Linked DNA regions of Saccharomyces cerevisiae S288C. Changing the gene in region 3 together with the main gene of any one other region gives a genetic interaction. Each region holds a gene or a part of one and is shown on either strand. Other genes may lie near its edges.

What was found. Genes that interact genetically often act in the same process or in processes that back each other up.
Region 1: mutations in FET5 (region 3) and FBP26 together harm fitness more than expected from each alone (negative genetic interaction), as found in Saccharomyces cerevisiae (2 studies listed by BioGRID).
Region 2: mutations in FET5 (region 3) and YLR046C together harm fitness more than expected from each alone (negative genetic interaction), as found in Saccharomyces cerevisiae (2 studies listed by BioGRID).

Annotation. Positions count from the first base shown.
Region 1 is NC_001142.9:128,785-132,548, reverse strand, and holds FBP26 (fructose-2,6-bisphosphatase), read left to right. Parts: upstream 1-1,905; coding exon 1,906-3,264; downstream 3,265-3,764. Other genes in the region: retromer subunit VPS35, read left to right, coding at 1-1,448; SSY5 (Ssy5p), read left to right, coding at 3,597-3,764. UniProt on the Saccharomyces cerevisiae protein: Monofunctional, high-specificity fructose-2,6-bisphosphatase, which releases phosphate from the 2-position of fructose 2,6-bisphosphate. Has no detectable 6-phosphofructo-2-kinase activity.
Region 2 is NC_001144.5:237,501-240,657, forward strand, and holds YLR046C (uncharacterized protein), read right to left. Parts: upstream 1,314-3,157; coding exon 501-1,313; downstream 1-500. Other genes in the region: STU2 (Stu2p), read right to left, coding at 1-203; FRE8 (putative ferric-chelate reductase), read right to left, coding at 1,847-3,157.
Region 3 is NC_001138.5:45,713-52,166, reverse strand, and holds FET5 (ferroxidase FET5), read right to left. Parts: upstream 3,029-6,454; coding exon 1,160-3,028; downstream 1-1,159. Other genes in the region: YFL040W (uncharacterized protein), read right to left, coding at 1-817; YFL041W-A (uncharacterized protein), read right to left, coding at 3,242-3,433; LAM5 (Lam5p), read left to right, coding at 4,423-6,447. UniProt on the Saccharomyces cerevisiae protein: Iron transport multicopper oxidase, which is required for Fe(2+) high affinity uptake. May be required to oxidize Fe(2+) and release it from the transporter. Essential component of copper-dependent iron transport.

The sequences.
Region 1 (3,764 bases), on a different chromosome or scaffold from region 3:
AATCGAAACTGCATCCTCCAGGGCATTCCGCTTATTTAGTTATTGAGGACAAACTCCAAGTTCAGCGCCTGCTTTCAATCTGTGAGCCCTTAATAATATCAAGAAGCGGACCGCCCGCAAATGTTGCATCCTCGGATACAAATGTAGACGAAGTGTTTTTTAATCGACATGATGAAGAAGAATCCTGGATACTGGACCCAATACAGGAAAAGTTGGCACATTTGATTCATTGGATAATGAACACTACTTCTCGGAAACAAACAATGAAAAACAAAATTCAATTTAGCTTAGAAGCCCAATTGGAAATATTACTTCTTATTAAATCTTCGTTCATTAAAGGTGGCATCAATGTTAAATACACTTTTCCAGCAATAATCACAAATTTTTGGAAACTGATGAGGAAATGCCGTATGATACAAGAGTACCTTTTGAAAAAAAGACCCGATAACAAGACGTTACTTTCCCATTATTCCAATCTTTTAAAGCAAATGTTTAAATTTGTTTCTCGTTGTATCAATGATATCTTTAATTCTTGCAACAACTCATGCACAGATCTGATTCTGAAACTGAATTTACAATGTGCCATTCTAGCTGATCAATTGCAATTAAACGAAATTTCATATGATTTTTTCTCACAGGCCTTCACAATATTTGAAGAGTCTCTAAGTGATTCAAAGACTCAGTTACAGGCTTTAATATATATTGCTCAGTCTTTACAAAAGACAAGATCACTCTACAAAGAAGCTTATTATGATTCTTTGATTGTCAGATGCACACTCCATGGATCCAAATTATTAAAGAAACAAGACCAATGTCGTGCTGTTTATTTATGCTCCCACCTCTGGTGGGCAACGGAAATTTCAAATATTGGTGAGGAAGAAGGTATCACAGACAACTTCTACAGAGATGGTAAACGGGTGTTAGAATGTCTACAAAGGTCTCTCCGTGTGGCGGATTCTATAATGGATAACGAACAGAGTTGTGAGCTAATGGTCGAAATATTAAATAGATGCCTCTACTATTTTATTCACGGGGATGAGTCCGAAACTCATATATCGATAAAATACATCAATGGTCTGATCGAACTAATCAAAACAAACTTAAAATCGCTAAAACTAGAAGATAACAGTGCCTCTATGATTACCAACTCAATCAGTGATTTGCACATCACCGGAGAAAATAATGTGAAGGCAAGCAGTAATGCTGACGATGGCTCTGTAATCACAGATAAGGAATCAAATGTTGCCATAGGATCGGATGGTACGTATATTCAATTAAATACTCTGAACGGATCTTCCACGCTAATACGCGGAGTCGTAGCAACTGCTTCAGGTAGTAAATTACTGCACCAACTGAAGTATATCCCAATCCACCATTTTCGACGCACTTGTGAGTACATTGAAAGTCAAAGAGAAGTTGACGATCGTTTCAAAGTCATATATGTATAGTTAAATAACGTACTTGCTCTTCGTACATGCCCAAGATAAAAAAAAACTACACAAATAAAGCTAATAAAAATTTACCTAAAGAAGGATCATAGATTAAGTGGAAGGAAACTTGTACATAATTCGAGTTTATTTTCAACTAAGATATCAAGGATTGTTTACTATAAAAACACTTAATTGGGTAATTTCTATTTTTTACTTTTTTTCTGTGTTAAAAAAATGGGTCGCGCCAATGCGCTCACAAATCTATTCTTATCCCTAACTTACATCTACATGTAAAGCGCCACTAAGAGAGCTATAGCTTATCATACATTTACATCAGGTAAAGTATCATTTTGGCCAGTGGATACGAATTTAATATATAATCTTTGCTTTCCCTTCGCTCTTAAATTCACCAAGCAAGTTTGTTAAGAAATAAAGGAAAGGGGGCTCAAAAACCGAATCAAGTAAGACAAGAAACATGGGGTACAGTACTATTTCCAACGATAATGATATCAAAGTATGTGTGATAATGGTTGGCCTACCAGCTAGAGGAAAGTCTTTTATTTCCCAAAAAATTATCAGGTACTTATCGTGGTTATCCATAAAAGCCAAGTGTTTTAATGTGGGAAATTACAGAAGAGACGTGAGTGGAAATGTCCCAATGGATGCTGAGTTTTTTAACTTCGAAAATACAGATAATTTTAAACTCAGAGAATTGGCTGCCCAAAATGCCATAAAAGATATTGTTAATTTTTTTACTAAAGAAGACGGATCTGTGGCAGTTTTCGATGCTACTAATAGTACACGTAAAAGAAGGAAATGGCTTAAAGATATATGTGAAAAGAATAATATTCAACCGATGTTTTTAGAGAGCTGGAGTAACGATCATGAACTGATTATAAATAACGCTAAGGATATCGGTAGCACATCTCCTGATTATGAAAACTCTGAACCTCATGTGGCGGAAGCTGATTTTTTGGAAAGAATTAGACAATATGAAAGATTTTATGAACCTTTGGACCCCCAAAAAGATAAGGATATGACGTTCATTAAGTTGGTCAATATTATTGAAGAAGTAGTAATTAATAAGATCAGAACATATTTGGAAAGTAGGATTGTATTTTATGTTATGAATATTCGTCCTAAACCAAAATATATCTGGCTCTCCCGTCACGGCGAATCGATCTATAACGTAGAGAAAAAAATTGGCGGGGATTCATCACTGTCTGAAAGAGGCTTTCAGTACGCTAAAAAATTGGAGCAGTTAGTGAAAGAGAGCGCAGGAGAAATAAATTTGACCGTGTGGACTTCCACCTTAAAAAGAACACAACAAACGGCAAATTATCTTCCCTATAAGAAACTGCAATGGAAAGCACTTGATGAATTAGACGCTGGCGTTTGTGACGGAATGACGTATGAGGAAATTGAAAAAGAATATCCTGAAGATTTTAAAGCACGTGATAATGACAAATACGAGTACAGATATCGTGGTGGAGAATCATACAGAGATGTAGTGATTCGTTTAGAGCCCGTCATTATGGAATTGGAGCGCCAAGAAAATGTTCTCATTATAACTCATCAAGCCGTACTTCGGTGTATATATGCATATTTTATGAACGTTCCACAGGAGGAATCCCCTTGGATGTCAATCCCACTACACACATTGATCAAGCTGGAGCCTAGGGCCTATGGCACAAAGGTCACCAAAATTAAAGCAAACATCCCTGCAGTGAGTACATATAAAGAGAAGGGTACAAGCCAAGTAGGTGAGCTTTCTCAAAGCTCAACTAAACTTCATCAACTGCTCAATGACTCTCCTTTGGAAGACAAATTTTAAATTTTACTTTTTATTTTTGTGTATCTTAAGTCCAAGCTTACTTGTGGCTGATACGCACAATCTTTTATGTACGAAAAGATCAGGAAACGTAGCATTGATGGTTTTTTATGTACGTCTGCAGCATTGTATGTAATTATTACCCAAACTAATTTTAAGTGAAATTGTAGAACGCCGCGGCGGAAGTATTTTTGAGTAAAAAAAAAAAAGTAAGATTCGAAAATGAAATTATACAGTACAGAAAACGTAAATATACAATAAAGGTTGAATAAACATACTAGATATCCTCCTTTCTTTTTGCATGTACATAGTACTGGTGTAAACTCGATATACCGATGGTCAGATTTTTTGGTTTAAACAAGAAAAAGAACGAAGAAAAGGAAAATACAGACTTGCCTGCAGACAATGAACAAAACGCAGCAGAAACGTCGTCTAGCAACGTATCTGGAAATGAAGAAAGAATAGACCCAAACAGTCATGATACGAACCCTGAAAATGCAAAC
Region 2 (3,157 bases), on a different chromosome or scaffold from region 3:
TTAGAATCAGTTATATATTGTGCAAATAATGTAGGATCCCTCCAGTAAATTTGTATGTTGTCATCCCTACTGATGTCGCCAACGGAGTTTCTAAAAAGCTGGTTTAACTCCTTATAAGCTTCTAAACGTGCCTTCCATAACTTGTACGTTAATCGCTCTTCTAGGGGTAACGTTGTATAATCTACTTCTTCTTCTCCTGACATAGTCAACTTCAAACTCTTTAATAAAAACTCAAAAATACTTTACACTGTAAAGATAGCTGTTTCTTTGTAGTTTAGTAATGCTATTTGGTCCCTAGGTCTGGTAGGTTCTTCATTTACTCTTCCTATGGAGTGTCAAGCAGACAAAACAAAAACAAAAACAAAAACAAAAACGACACGAAAAAAAATAGATTCGTTAACCATGATAATCTTTGCACCATATAAAGGAAAAGACAAGATTGACTTCTAATGCCCAGCACAAATATTATCCAACTATTTAATTAATAAATTTTTGACTACTTAATCTTCAGACACAGATTCCTTGTCTAATAATTTGTTTAATTGAATATTGACAGATTTATCCTGCAGCTTGAACAAATTTCTTGCGCGAAAGGTTGCTAGGAAAATCAAAGGTAGTAAAAACATTAGAACTGTATCGAAAACGTAAAGGCACCATTCGTGCTGACCTATATAGCTTTGTAAGCCCATTAGAAATTGTACTACTCTGACAATGGTTCTACCATTAACCAGCAATATCCCAGCTAAAAGTATAAAATTGTACTGGAACCATTCATTACTATCCCGCACAATTTTACTAGGCGTTGCCTTCATTTTATAGTGAAGAAAAAGTTGACTGAACGTTAAAAAGGTATAACAAAATATCTGAATGAAAAGACCCACAATAATTAGGATACGCCCAGTATTCCTGCTGTTCCATGAGGATAACAACCCACCTCCTACAGCCTGTAGGACACGCCCAATCATATCTGCCACTACGAAAGAAACTGTACTAAATTTCGCAGGAATTAACATATATGCCTCCATAAGAATTAGACGTGCCATTTTGCTGAACAACATAAAAATACTAAGGGCGTAAAGTGAAGGTGCTATCAATAGAAGCACCGATTGAGCAATGAAAGTCGAAATCGAGGGGCTATTGATAAAGACTATTTTCAACACATAACCCACGAACTCTAAACAAATCCCTAAAACGAAAGGAAAATGTGTCCACATCAAACCGCGGGCAGGAAAGTATATTATTGTGGAATTTTCCTCTGACAACTCATTGTTTTCCCAGCGATGAATACGTCTCTTGCTCGTGTGTGTTGCCATTATGATCTGCACCAAGGCAGAAAGGATTAAAATGCCAAACAGAACGACAAATGCAATCGCTGCACCTTTGTGAGGATTGTATGCATAAAAACCTTCATAATCAGTGATTGCTTTAGTAAAAAAATTCCTATTGAGGCAGTTGAGTTCTTTTATCGACAATAAGTCTCTAGTACAGTAGTGAGAGTGTCATGTATTCAGTACCAAGAAGAACTTATATGCCTTTTATAATTCATCTTATAAGTTGCTAGACATACAAATAATCAATATGGAAATGTGCTTATTCCCGCTAATATCCATTAATATCCGCTGTCATTTTTCGCAACTATCACCAAGTGGAGAGAGGCTTGACAACCACCAGAAAAAAACTAAATCAGCCTGCGGAACTTTTCTCGGAAAAAATCAGTTAGAAAAGATCGTACATAGGGCCCTTTTTTGACAGTAAGATTAAAGAGCAAAACGGGACATTATAGATATGCCACCATCAAATACGTGAATTTTCCAAGCCTCATAAACTAATAGCCAACTTGCAACTCTTATAATGCAAAACTTTCTCCGTGAAAGTGTAAACCACCATCTGTCGCCCATCTTTTGGTGCTTTCAATTAAGCCTCTAGGGCCTGCAGCGAGAACCCATACTTGTGACAAATATTCAGCATGGTCTCTGCCTTGATTCGCCCACCTGCAACATTGAATAGAATCCGTCTCTGCATCACATTCGGTTTGCAGACACCATTCATAATCCTTATCTCCAAGTGTAGGCCTGCCAAAGAACACTTTAACACCTGCGGGAATTCTGATCTTTTTAGGCGCCGCCTCTAAACAAGGATCTTGGGCAGGTGGCTCAATGATCTTTGGTTGTCTGAAAACGCTCGATCCGTTAAACGAAGAATGTGTAGTTAGAGTTCCTTGTGCAGTATTTTTCCTTGATTTGGATCTGCTAAAAGCATATGTAAAATCTATCTCGTCATCAGCATTGATGTCAGGTATATCACTTGTTTTTGGTGGGTGATGGTTTCTCAAGGTAGATTTCTTACTTAGAAGGGCTGTGTTCTCATTGGGCTCCGTAGGTTGGGGATTTCCATCTGATAACATGGAATTATCTCCCAGTTCTGAAACTCGGCCGCTCGAAGAAATACTCCTGACTTCATCATTAATATCAGCAGCGCAGTCATGATAGTCAATATAATCAATTTCTATGTCCTGTTCGTTGCCTTCGGTGCCACTAATATATATCTCCATACCTTCAAAATTGTTTTTGAAGTGGTTCAATACTTCCAGATCCTTATAATCTCTAGAAACCCAAAGGAGCCTAACGTTTACACCGTTGAAGTTTAGAATACGAAGTAGTGGTAAGCCAAAGGAAATTCCTGAACCTCCAACACACATAAACACTCTTTGCGCTTTAATTAGAAAATTTAAAGGCGAATTTATTAGTGCAGAAGAATTGTTTCGAAATGGATTCTTGGAAGATTTCGTGGTAATATTAAAAGGAACAGTAGGTTTAGAAATGAAACTCAACTCAGGTTCAAAAGCCCCTGTAATGTAATACTTTTCATTTGTACGCAATGGAAAATGCCCGTTTCTAATAATTAACCTGACCAAATTATCACTTGGAATACTAGCAATAGTAAAAGGATGTTGGAAGGGTATCAAATGGGAGAAAAACCTCCTTAAAAAATTTCTATGGTAAATGTTGATCCTTAGATGCCCTCCTGGTAGGATGGGCTTTTTGGGTAAATCGGTTAATGGGAACTCCAAAAGAGACAATGATGAAGAAATGGGTACTATCGTAACTCTCGTAACATTGGTGATATGGAGCCTATAGACGATTTGTCCCGTTAATAT
Region 3 (6,454 bases):
ACGAACCCCGAGGTAATTTTTTGGAGAAGTCCAAATCATTAACTCCAATCCAAAAATCTCCTGCTAATTCGATCTTACTCATCTCAGGGACTGCATCCCTTGGCTGGCTTTCATTAAACTTTTTGGCTAAATTGTGCTGAATTTCCTGAGCTTCACTCATCTTCCCATGTAGTACTAGCCAGTGATAAGATTCAGGTAGAGCGTAGCTAGCCATCCAGAACAGTAATCCAGGAATGATTCCTATGCACCACGCTATACGGAACGCAAAATGAGAATCCCATAGACTTAATGCAATGCACAAATAATGCATAACAAGAATTCCAATGGTTAAACACAATTGAATATAGCTCATCGTACTTCCACGCTTGCCGCGGGGGATAACTTCATTTGCGTAGGATGCTACTAAAATTGAAAAGTTCCCAAGGATCATACCCTTGATCATCCGGCAAATTAGTAAACCTAATATATCCCAAATACAAAAGTTCAATAACGTAACAATATTCCATATTATTATTCCCGATTGAAATTGATATATTCTACTGAATCTATCATTCATTATGCAGCAAATAAAACATCCCATGATACCACCCAGGGGGGTGGACCCCATGAGTAAACCTTGTTGTAAAGGAGTTGGATACTTGAAGTACTCATTAAACGTTTTGTTTGTGAGAAAAGTTGCCAATGACGGCACCTCAAGGCCCATTATAAATCCTACTAGTGTCAATATCGCCGTAATTTTCGTAACTTCATAAGTTTTTGTAATTTTGATTTTCGGCATCTTGGGAAGTCTCCAGACAATAGCTTTCATTGCTGTCATTGTGCTTAATAATTTTTAAAGTATAATGTTAGAAACTGTACTTGTTCTTTCTTTTTTCTCTTCTCATATTACACTTATTGAATATTTTGTTTTTTGATTTTCATCCTTTTTTTGTGACGTTCTTGGCTGAGCGTCACAACGTCAGAGCTAAAACAACGAAATAAAAGAGAAAAAAAAAGCAATAGATTTGATTACGTATGAATATTATATAGGGAATGGAATGAACAAAATGAAAATACTCAATAGTAAGCAGTATTTACAGTGCTACATTTTTTTTAGGATTGCAAATCATCAATATGAATATAAACTTCTTTCATTTTTCTTTTATATTTTCTTGTTTAATTAGCCGCGAGAAACCTCTATTTCATTTTCAGCCAAGATTTCCCTTAACGTGTGGTACACCTTCTCATCGTTAGGGATAACCTCGCCAATACCATACTGAGCAATGGAATATAGGCCCCAGACACCGATAATGGTTGAAATAATCAATGCCAAATATCCTTCAGTAGTAAATCCCTTTGGTAGTGGCTCAGGTTGTCTTGGTAATCCTTTTAAGTCAAACCAATCATTCGAATGACCTGCAGCATTACCAACTACCGGAATATCAGCGGCTTTGCATATATCCAGATAGTTCTCATTAAGCTTTTCCCTTTCCTGAAGTAAAACGGGTGCCTCAATAAAGACCGAAGCCAAACCTTGTTGTAAGTGCCAATCTACATGACAATGGAAATACCAGACACCAGGGTTGTCAGCTCTAAATCTCAGGACAACATGTCCACTAGGTTCAAGAACCACTGTATCTCTCACCATCGGCCTCTCAGGGAACGGTTGTAATGGCGCAGATTCGTTATAAGGGACGGTCATTTCATCTTGCTCAGATTCGTCATAAGCTTCATCAACATGGAACCCTGGCGACTTTTGGACTATTTGGAAATTATGACCGTGCAAATGGAATGGATGTCTGCCAGAATCATAATTGTTTAGAACAACCTCTATGATATCATTATGTTTCAATAACTGCGCATTGATATTATCACCATAAATTCTAGGATCTGACGCAAGCTTTCCTGAGGTAAGCAACGTTGTCAAAGTAGGCACCTTTGGTGTGACGTAAGTGATATTATTGAAAAATGCATACTTCACACCATCACCCAAGTTGACCATTCTTACATCCATGACAATTTGGTGGTCATAGTGAGCAAGTAGGTCTCTCTCAATCAGAGGTTCTAGGTAAAAGTCATTCGTGGCGCGGTCCAAGTCACAATCTTCAATGTTCAATGCGCGTGCCTCCGGCAACGAGTGGCCATACCTCATTTGGATAGTTTGGTTGAGTTGTAACTCAGGTGGGACAACATCAAGCATCGTCTCATCCATTATTTGCATCATAGCGTAGTTTCTTGTAGGCATTTTATCTTTAGCTTTAATCAACACACTCATTCTTTGCCCCGCAGAAAGATATATCGAATCAGTAAAGTTTGGCTTTACGTAAACACCGTCCACCTCTACTATACTCATTTCATGATCCTCAAGAATGATATACTGGGATACAAACAGCCCAACGTTCAAGAACCTGAAGAGATACGTTTCACCGGGTGTAAAATCTAAAGTTACATTCATCGTATTATTAAAAAGAATATTTTGAGGAATAGGTTCAGCACCGGTTGGATTATATCTTGACAGAAACTCTTTGGTAACCGTTTTATAATTTTCGTGATAATGGTCCGATAGAGTGATGACTCGTTCATGATCATATTCGAAGGGCTCCTCCGGATCGTGGATGATAAATGCACCCCTCATACCGTCACCGTACTGGGCACCCATGTGTGCATGGTACCAGAACGTTCCTACCTGCTCTGGGACAGTGAAGTTGTACAGGTATGTTTGTCCCGGAACGATGGGACATTGTGTCACCATAGAAGGACCATCCATTTGAAGCTGGTTCCCCAAACTCGTATTCTGGAAAAGACCATGGAAATGTAGAGAAGTAGCAGTATTGTCTTGAAAGCCGTTAGTCAAATAAAGCTCAACACGATCTCCTTTTTCAACATGGATATCTGGAAGTGGCCATTCGCCATTAAAACCAATCATCCTTTTTTCATGCAATCCATCAGGATTGGCAGTTACCCAAGAAGCGGTATAGTTTAACTTATGTGTCTTTGCCAAAGCAACACTAGCGGCCAGTACAGACCACACGAACGAGTAGAACAACATCGTTTCTTGTCTTCCTGTGCTTGATTCTTTCTTCTTTCATTCGGAACTCTTTTTTTACGTCTTCGTATTTTCTGTGATCTTATATAAAAATGTATGTATTATAAGAATCGATGGCGAAACAGGGTGCAGACTGAATACAAAAGCCACAAAGTAATAAAACAAGAATATTAAAAATATTTAGATACAGTTCGATAAATTCTATAAACACCTTACCTATCTTAGCTTGAGCAGCTTTTTTGAAAGGAAATCAACCAGTAGCCTATCGGTAATCAACTCATAGACATTAATACAATCCCTAGACATCAAATCAATGGCCAAGGAGTAGTCACCATCGTCATACTTGAATTTCACTTTATATGTAATCTCTCTGAAGGAATCTCGTTGGGAGGGTCCCCACATTTTCATTCGAGGGGTGGATATCAACCTACTTAACTGTTCCACCGTTCTTGACACATTTTAGCATATTCTCAACGCTCTTTTGAGTACCTGAGGACTCGAATCCATCAGGCTTCCTTTTTTTCTGATTATAGCAGTTCTTCATAGCGTTTATAAACTGTCCATTTTGCTCTTTCTTGGAATCATGTGTACTCATGAACACCAAACCCTCTGAGTACCGCACCCGCCAGCAGATCAATTGTTCCAGCACCTATAACTACAGCTTACTCCCCACACTTCAGCTAGGACGGCCTTACTACATGGAGAGCGACAAATAGTGGCATCTACAGAGGACTCTTGCTAGAAATTCACTGTAACGGTAATCAGTAAACGCAGTCGACGTTAACCACGAACTCTTGACAAAGGGTGCCGTCACGGTCAGTGATGCAGCAAATGGTATGTTGAGCTGCAAACTATAATGGCCTCACAGAAACTCTTTGGTAAACCTATTTGGGTATGAGGGCTATATGCTTACTGCATCACCCGCTTTACAGTAGTTTGAGATACTTCAATTTCAAGAACAGCACCGTTGGATTCGTGGCCCAAAGTCATGGGCTTCCCAGGTTACTTTACGCTGACCTGGCCATCCGTGTAGTAGTGAATGTCTGATCCGCAGATTCCAATAGCCTTCACTTAAACTTTGACCTGTGACATCACGTTGGCTTGGCAACTTTCTGAATCTCTTTCATGTTTGGTTCAAAACATTTGATAGCTTTCTGCATTGTGTTGAGTGGAGGTCAGAAGGTCAGATATTACCAATTACCGTCATCCTCAATGTCACTCATGATAGAATGTTTGCTTTATGTCTGAGATCAGAGAGATCGCGTATCGCTGAGCAGGGGGACTTGTTTCTCCCACCCTTTTTCATAAAGCATCTTGACAATTATATTAAAACACTCAACCATTTCGCTATCTGAGAAAAGGGTGAAGAAGGCAACTACACAAAAAGATTAGTGGTGATGTCGGATGTAGATAACTGGGAACCCGTATCAGATAATGAGGACAGTACTGATTCTGTGAAACAATTGGGTCCCCCCTTTGAGCATGCAAGTAACAATGACAATGCCGGCGATACTGAAGCTGAGTCACTGCAAGAAGTGCCCCTAAATACAGAGACCAACGACGTACGCAAGAATTTAGTAGTGATTACAAACCAAAGTGCCGCCGATGAACACCCTACAGAGATCAAGCACGATCAATCAAGGACTTCTTCGACGTCCTCGTTCTTCAGTGGAATGATCTCTTCGTTTAAGTCAAACGTGCCATCCCCAGTTTCTAGATCAACTACGCCAACTTCGCCAGTTTCGCAACCAAGCATTATATCACATAGAAGGGAGCCTTCCATGGGGTCCAAAAGAAGATCAAGCCGCCGTATCAGTAATGCCACAATTGCTGAAATAGGCTCTCCCTTGCAACAGGTGGAAAAGCCTGATGAGGTCAAGACAAGACTCACTCCTTCCCAAATGAAAGAAGACAATTACGATCATAGACGATTCGTGGAAGAACGTTACATGGACACACCTTATCACTATGCGTCTGAGCAAAGAAATAAAGACTTTCATGAGACATTCAAGTCCGTTCCTAAAGATGACAGACTACTGGATGATTTTAATTGTGGGCTGAATAGAGAGCTGCTTTACCAGGGGAAACTATACATAACAGAAACGCATCTCTGCTTCAACTCCAATGTTCTTGGTTGGATTGCTAAAGTACTGATTGCGTTCGAAGATGTCACGTTTATGGAAAAAACTTCTGCTGCTGGGTTGTTCCCCAGCGCAATATCCATCGAAACAAAGATGGGCAAAACTCTCTTTAATGGTTTTATATCCAGGGATGCTGCATTTGGATTAATGAAAGAAGTGTGGTCAAGAACCTTGTTGCAGAAGGACATGGCCAGCGAAAACATCAATACTAAAGCAGAAAAGTCAGGAAATGGCAAAGAGATTGATGATGCAATAAACTCCATCGATGAGGAAAACAATGATAAAGACGCTAATGATAATGACACTAATGAAAATGACGATGAAAATATCTCTACAAATGAGACTACCCCCAATAGTACGAGTTCCTCGCCGGATAAAGAAAAAGAGAAAGCGTATAAACTGCGTGCCGATTCCTCGTATCAGTATGATGGTCCAATATATCATCATTCAACAAGCTTTCCGGCTGAACCTATGGCCAATAACGAGTTTGTTCTCAAGGAGTTACCATTCGATTGTGCACCTGGTATACTTTTTGAGATCATGTTCAACTCAGAGCAAAACGAATTTCTTCTAGATTTTTTACGGGGTCAAGAAGGTTCACAAATTACCACTATTCCAAATTTCACGAGCATTGACGGATCTTCCATGACTTTGAAGCGTGAGTATTCATACGAGAAAGCATTGCACTTTCCTGCGGGGCCCAAGTCCACGACATGTTATGTTGCTGAGGTAATAAAGAGAAAAGATCCTGATACTTACTATGAGGTTATCAGTAGCATACGCACTCCGAACGTGCCCAGTGGTGGTAGTTTCTCAACTAAGACAAGGTATCTAATCCGTTGGAATGACGAAATAACGTGTCTGTTACGGGTATCCTTTTGGGTGGAATGGACTGGTTCCAGTTGGATCAAAGGTATGGTTGAAAATGGATGCAAGAATGGTCAATTGGAGGCTGCGCAATTAATGGAGCGTATTCTTTCCAAGTTCATCAAGAACAATGTCGAAGAGTGCCAAATTACTATCAGCAAGGAGGAAGAGGAGCAAGATGATAAAGAAGTAAAAAATAAGTTGAAAGAGGTTGACCTTGAACAACCAAGAGAAGCGGTTGTTACGGCTCCCGCAATTGCAGAGCAGCAAGGTCTCAAGGTCACCATGGAAACATGGTTGTTCTTATACTTGATTGTGGTCGTTTTGCTATTGTTTAATCTGTTCTACATACGTTCAATTGCTGTCTCATTACATCAACTGGTGAAGCTGCAATTGGTAGAACTGAAGTTGTGATCTGTAT